2 linked regions of the Arabidopsis thaliana genome follow. The protein of the gene in region 1 interacts with the protein of each later gene in a pairwise test. Each region holds a gene or a part of one and is shown on either strand. Other genes may lie near its edges.

Region 1 (3,761 bases):
ACATCGCCAGTAACAACCCCTGATATTCCATCAACTCCAGCGAATACGCCGGACATATTTCCTTACGGACGAGGTCCGGTGAGTAGTTCTGCACCAGCGACGGCGAATCTGGCTCCAGAGACTGCTGAGGTTCCCGCCGGAGCCAAGTCGGCTTCTAAATTCGTTCAACATGATCTCCTATGCATATTTTTGATCTTAGTAGCCACTTTGGTTCTTCCAGCTAACTAGCTTTTTGTCAGACTATAAGAAGACTCTTCAGTATATCTTGTAATTCTAATGAACAAGATACTTACTTGTTTTGTATTGATTACTTTATAGTATATTAATGTTGGTAGATTATATTTGTTAGTACAATATGTTTTCGTAAAAACACCATTTTCTTATTCCATGATATAGCTATGAAAAAAATCAACAAACTTAATAGAAACTTGATAAAAAGAAGTTTATAAAGCAACATTCAAACGGAAGAAACAAATGACATTTCTCACATAGAAAGTTTACTTGAATCCTCCAAATCATTAACTTGTGCAAACCTGAAGGGATAATCTTGGAACTGCTTCACATTGTTGAACATACTGTTTCCTAAACCCCAATGTATTGGCTCCATATAAGCTGTCCTCTGTACCATCGGACCATATGGACCATCCGAACAACTCCCGTAAAACAAGCTTTGCCCGTTCGCTATCATCGGCTCTGTCACATTCGAGAAGGAAGACACTTCCGCAGTATTTGAGGTCATCTGGTTATTAAAAGGGAAGAAAGAGAGCCCGTTGTAATCCATAGTAGGCAGAGGAAACAACTGATACTGCTCAAAACATTGCCGATTGTAACCGCATAAACCAAGTTGGTCATTAGACCAACAACTAGTGTCAGGAAATGTCTGATTCCTATTCGTAGCCTCTTGGATCTTGTTTTCTACTGCCATGAAAACCGCATAGAGGTCATTTAAAGAACACTGGTCGAGCTTTTTGTCCCATGTAGGATACTTTGTCGCAATCGTCGGTTTCTCCACCTTAGTGTTGTTTTTCTCCAAGCATTCTTGCACGGTGTATGTCTTGGTGCAGCTGCTTGACGCAGTGTCTCTGTACTTGGTTAAGATTTCACGGACTTTGCTCCCATCCTTTGGCCATAACTCGGGCTCCATGACCATTTCGTCCCCTGCTCTGCTCGGGCCGTACACAATGACACAAGTGTCCACACCGCAGAGTGTTGAGAACTCACTGGCTTTCTTATACAAACATGCTTTCCTCTTCTTGTAAGTCGTTATCCTCGTTTTCTCGTTCGTTATCCTCGTCATCTTTACCATCTTTCGACCCATCCAGATACCTTTGCTTCAATCTAAAAAGCCATAAAAGAGTAAAACACAACAATAGATCATAATCTTGAAAATTGAAATAGTAATATCATCATTTGGATGTAACGATCAGCTACCAAAACATACAGAAACACTACAAATTTACAACCAAAGCACTAATACTAGTAAACATTTTGTTGTCAATAAAAAATTTGTAACTCATATAGCTTTTAGGTTTACATTTTAACATTTCATAGCAATGTAAGCCTTACAAATGTATAGGGAAGAAAGATTCATATTATTTTATTCTCAATTTTTTCACTAATAAGCATAATCCTTATCGTTTTGTCAAGCTTCCTATGCATAATTCCAAATCCATATACGATTAACACGAATAGTAAAACAGATGGGATATTAACATAAAGTAAATGCAGAGTGATTACTAGAAGAAAAAAAGAATGTATATAATACCTTCTTTAAGAGCTCTACTTTCTGAAGTTTCTTGATTTAACAATGGAGTTCCTCTTTCTGTGTTTATATAAGACACACGCAAAAAAAGAATATATGTTTTTTTTTTTTTTTTTTGTCGTAAAGAATATATGGTTTATTCTCGAATATTGTTTCCTCCCCTAAATTACGGTAGCAATGCTGATATTTTATTTCTTTCCATGTTTTCGAGTAGAATTAAAGAGGACGAAGCTATACAAATCTTTAGTTTCTATGTTCACGCACAAGTGATAAGAGTTCAGTTAAAGGAAAACATTGTAATTACAGCATGATCAAGAAAGAAGATTTTGTTTGTGATTTGTGCCAATTAATTTTCTCAAATATTCCTTTTTTGCTTTAATTGAAAACTTTGTTAATATTCTTACGGAAATTTGGCGCCGGAGGTGGCTGAGGTTCCGTTTGCAAGTTGCAACAATGTTCTTATTGGTCTTCATGGCCACTTTGGTAGTTTGGTTGTATAGAAATTAGAAAAAAGATTAAAGTTTGTTGTCGTAAGTTTGTCACACTTCTGTGATGACTATTTGTACTGATACTCGATAGTTCATTTTAATATAATACTAGGAGACATCGACAAATAATAAATTTGTTTCATAAAATTTTAAACTACTAGTAGCTGTTGGTGTTGATCGATTGATCGGTAATTCATAGCCTTTGAAATATACATTTAACAATTTCACCAATCACCATATGCTCATACGCACTGGTATGTAACTAAAAAATGACTAGAACTTGTAAAATGTCCCATGCAATTATTACTTAGTGCGTATTTTGAAATTTTGTTTTTTTATCCTTTATTATCTTTCACATTCGAATAAATATCAGCTATATGTGATAAACAAAGTTTTGCCACTTGATGAGTAGTACTACGAGACTGAAACGTGACATATCGTGGACCCATGATTTAATTTGATCAAACTATATGACAATGAAGACGGAAATAATAGGTTAACTTAAATATGTGAGACATTTTTCGTATACTATTTATATGCCAAATTCACTACTATAATTGGTAATAGGCAGTGTTGATGGTGGCGAGTAGCATGGGATATGTTCTAATGGGATATTTTACATGCTTATCCACTAAGGGACGATATGTTTCCACGTCAGCAAAATGGTTAATTCCATTTTCTTTGTTAAAAAACCTTATTCAATGGATATTTAATATCATATAAAAAAATTACCATCTAAAAGTACAATTAGTTTGACTATATGCTATTCAAGTCCTCATAGTTTTATTATTCAATTATAAGTCAGTCATAATAGAAATTTAAACTTGTTTCCATGTTACACATTAAACACCAGTTTGAAAAAATCAACTCTGATTTTTATAATAAAATAAATGTAATCTCAATCATCTCCTGAACTTCAACAAGTAAAACGTTAATTAGTTTTGATAATTTCACTGATTTGTTTCATAAAAACACCTATACTCCTATAAATAATTAAATATTGTAGGCACGAGGTATATAGTAGAGAACGAAAGTTGGGGTCAATTATAGAAATATTTAAAACATACGGGCAAAAAATAGAAAATAAAGGCAATAAAGGAAAAAGTATAGGGTCAAGAAGGAATTATAAAGTTGATAATTTTCTTGATTTAAAAATTCAGTATATATATCAGAAAAGCCCCAAATAAATTTTGGGTCGTTAAAAAGAAAAGAAAAAGAGAAATAGAATTTTGCGTTTCAAGTACTCCATCTCCGTCTCTTTTCCTCCGCATCTAAAACCATCTGAGAAATATCTCCGACGAAGGAGAAGAAACGAAAATGACGGAGACTGGAGTAATCGGATGTGGCTGTCGCGGAGTCACCGGCGGCAATTTCTTCCATCCCGGAGGATTTTCTTTGAAATCTTGTTTCCTCGAGCAGAGTACAAAGCGTAATCGTAACTTTTTCCGAAGCGTTTCTATGATTCCTCCTTTCAAACGCGGTCGTTTCATCACTAAGTTGCGTTCCGTCGC
Region 2 (3,443 bases), about 21 Mb from region 1:
AAAACAAAAATCGAAAAAAATGTTACAAATAAATTCGTATTTTTTGATATTTGAATATTTTTTTTAGAAAATAAAAGGTCAAATTGTTTTTTACGAAAATTAAAGTGTCCACTTTTATGGTTGCTGTCTTGCTGATTATCAAATCGATCATTTAAATATTCCCAATTAATCACATACTTTAACCGTCGTTAGATGTGATTGACGAATGTTTCGCTTCTAAACACTATATTATTCAATTAATAATTTTACCTTTTTAGATACAAGTTGAAGTTTCAAGTAGCGATTTTAAAATACAATCCGAAGATTTTAGCATATGTTAATTTTGTTTTTGTTAAGTTTCATGGGTTAAGGTCCATTCTCAATTCTATACTTATAATGTGAGATATAAACCTATTCTGAGATTGGAATGCGTCGATAATATTTAAGACTTTAAATCTCAGAAAGAAACTATCTGAAGTTAAAGTTCATCTCCATAAAATTGTTTAACTGTTAATATAACATGATATCTACGGGGATACACTATCATAAATTCATAATTAATCAAGTAGACTAAAATAAAATAAAAAGTATTTGAAAGAAGGAAAAAAAACTAGTCTCTCTTTTTTTTTTTTTAAGAACTAGCTAGAGAGAGATACTAAAAGAATGGAACTAGAGGCGTAGATCCAAACTCACGTGGTCCGGTACATTCTTCTTGGACTCGTAAAACAGACCATGGCTGCTGCTACCACCACCGACATACGTTGGTCTAGTCTGGTGATCACCGATGAACCAAGGAATATATCTATTATAATAAGATGAACGGTCACGATTAAAACTCGCAGATGAGTTATACATACGACATAACCCTAATCTCGCGTCGTTGATTTGAACAGCTTCAAGGCTATAGCGATCCTCGTAGAGCCTAGAAGCAGCAATGTGGTTTTGTTGGCGGTGGAAGAAAGCGGCTGCGTTTGAATGGAGGTTGAAGCGTTTAGTTTGTTGACGTTCTCTCTTGTGAGCGTTTTGATGGCCGCCTAGGGCTTGTGAAGTAGGGAAGTTCCGGAAACAATAGTGGCACTTGAATCTTTTTTCTTTGTTATCGTCTTTGATGCTTTCATTGTTCTCGTTGTAATTGTCTTTGGACTCAGATTCTTCATGAGAAGCTCCAAACTCGAAGCCAAAGAGGCGAATGGGTCTTTCCTTAGGAGAGAAAGAGTTGACGTTCATGAAATCATAAGTCTTCATTTTAATATAGTGGTGGTTATGACTCTGGATGGCTAAGTACAGAGAAAAGATTGAAATTGTAGAGTTGAAGTAAAGGAAGATTTTGGCTTTCTATTTCTAGATTCTTCAACTTAGTGTTAAATTTGCAACTTCGAAGTACGGTCTCCTCTATGTTTCTTGCATTTAATTCCCGATGGGGTATGTACATAGATAATTTACACTGAATAACTATTAACTATAATAGACCTATTCAGGCACATTTAGTTTTTGGTAAGTAGTATATATTTACCCGTTTCTAGCTATATTCTTTCTAATTTTGCTATATTATAGTCTTGTATATGTAGATAGGATTAGCCAGACAAGAATTGAACTAAACTAGTGAGCTAATTGGTTTGTCTCCTTGTAGATAATCTAGTGAGCATTCAATTCAAATGCGGATTTGCCTTGATGATTTCTACCCGTCGAACTACCATCATTGATATGTCATGTCAATGCATCTTTTATGAAAAGGTTTTAGTACACGTATTTGATGTCAAGATAGTATATAGTTGTATCTTTAAGGTTCCTGTTTCTATGTTTAATAGTGACAGCTTATATACAGTATATAACACTGATGGCTATGTGTGAGGCTTTAGTCCAAAACTTCAAATCTCTGTCGTGATATATATACATTTTTTTCTTCCTTATGGTCAGTTTTAGAACAACCATGTTTTTGAGTAGTTAATCAAATTGTATGTTGCCTCATCTAATCAAATCCTCATTTTTGAGTAGGTAATACTAACCACAAGACCAAAAAGTAAAATAAAACAACCATGCATATGAATTAACATATAGTACAAGTTTTCAGGTGGATCCCTCAAATTAATGTAGTTAGATGGTAAACTGCGTGGTGTCACATCTTTGTTTCCTCATCTGCGCGATTACTTTTTTTTGTGTTTGGATTTTGCTTTTCGTCTCGAAGTACGATCTTGTTAAAAACAGATTCATTAATGTTACTCTCCATAACAAACTGCAACAGTGACGATATATTATGTTAATTTGTCTTCGTCATATTTGTTTTATTATAATGGATCATGAAAGTGGTCGCCCATGAGGAAAGAACATGGTCGTGAACCAAACGTTGCTCACACGATCGATTCGCATGCAGTTGCTTTAACAGAAGAAGAACAGCTTAAGCAACTCTAATATACCCTAAAATTCTTCAATAATCCTTTAGAAACAAAAGCAGTAGTTAATACACAGCCTTTTAATTCATCATAAGAGAAATAAAATATTTTTTCCCTTGTCACATAAAATTTATGAAACAAAAATTTTCTCAATAGCTAAAATAATCATTAATAGTCTTTTGTTCTTCTAATTATTTGAGTTGACAAAGTTCAAACAAAAGAAAACGAACAAATATTTCAAAAATTGAGGATCTAATAAAATTTCATATTCTCCACGATCGAATTGCTACTTTATTTCAAACAAACAACATTGCACGTCCTCTAATGTAATTGGAAGTGCCACACACGAAGCCAACTTGAGAAGATAGTATAATATTTACACACACAAAAAAAGACTATATAAATGGTATTCATGTTCAAGTATAACATAAAACCAAAACAAATAAATAAAAATAAAGAGATGGGTATGATGAGATCCTCAAGAACGATGGGGTTAGGGCATTGCATGGTTTACGTTGTGGTCCTAAGTGCCATTGCGGCTACAGTGACATCATACCCTTACTCCTCTCCTTACTCATCCCCTCAAACCCCACATTACAATTCTCCCAGCCATGAACACAAAAGCCCTAAGTACGCGCCACATCCAAAACCATACGTTTATATTTCTCCACCACCTCCATCATACTATTCTCCTTCTCCAAAAGTAAACTATAAGTCTCCACCACCACCAAACGTCTACAACTCTCCACCTCCACCATACTATTCTCCTTCACCAAAGGTTGATTATAAGTCTCCACCACCACCTTACGTCTACAGTTCCCCACCTCCACCATACTATTCTCCTTCTCCGAAGGTTGACTATAAGTCTCCTCCACCACCATACGTCTACAGCTCCCCACCCCCACCATACTATTCTCCTTCGCCAAAGGTTGAATACAAGTCTCCACCACCACCGTACGTCTACAATTCTCCACCTCCACCATACTACTCTCCTTCTCCTAAGATAGAGTACAAGTCCCCACCACCACCATATGTCTACAGTTCTCCACCCCCACCGTACTACTCTCCATCTCC

The links. The genes of interacting proteins can lie anywhere in the genome.
Region 2: the proteins of AT5G55690 (region 1) and GIS2 interact in a two-hybrid assay, tested with the Arabidopsis thaliana proteins (one large-scale study listed by BioGRID).

The regions. Positions count from the first base shown.
Region 1 is NC_003076.8:22,548,306-22,552,066, forward strand, and holds AT5G55690 (MADS-box transcription factor family protein), read right to left. Parts: upstream 1,790-3,761; 5' UTR 1,766-1,789; intron 1,341-1,765; exon of another isoform or gene 1,339-1,340; 5' UTR 1,319-1,338; coding exon 485-1,318; 3' UTR 402-484; downstream 1-401. Other genes in the region: AT5G55680 (glycine-rich protein), read right to left, coding at 1-56; BAM4 (beta-amylase 4), read left to right, coding at 3,568-3,761.
Region 2 is NC_003076.8:2,041,267-2,044,709, reverse strand, and holds GIS2 (C2H2 and C2HC zinc fingers superfamily protein), read right to left. Parts: upstream 1,292-3,443; 5' UTR 1,225-1,291; coding exon 649-1,224; 3' UTR 510-648; downstream 1-509. Other genes in the region: AT5G06645 (gibberellin-regulated-like protein), read right to left, coding at 3,368-3,443; EXT10 (Proline-rich extensin-like family protein), read left to right, coding at 2,782-3,443. UniProt on the Arabidopsis thaliana protein: Probable transcription factor required for the initiation of inflorescence trichomes in response to gibberellin and cytokinin. Is not involved in the regulation of trichome branching. Is functionally equivalent to ZFP8.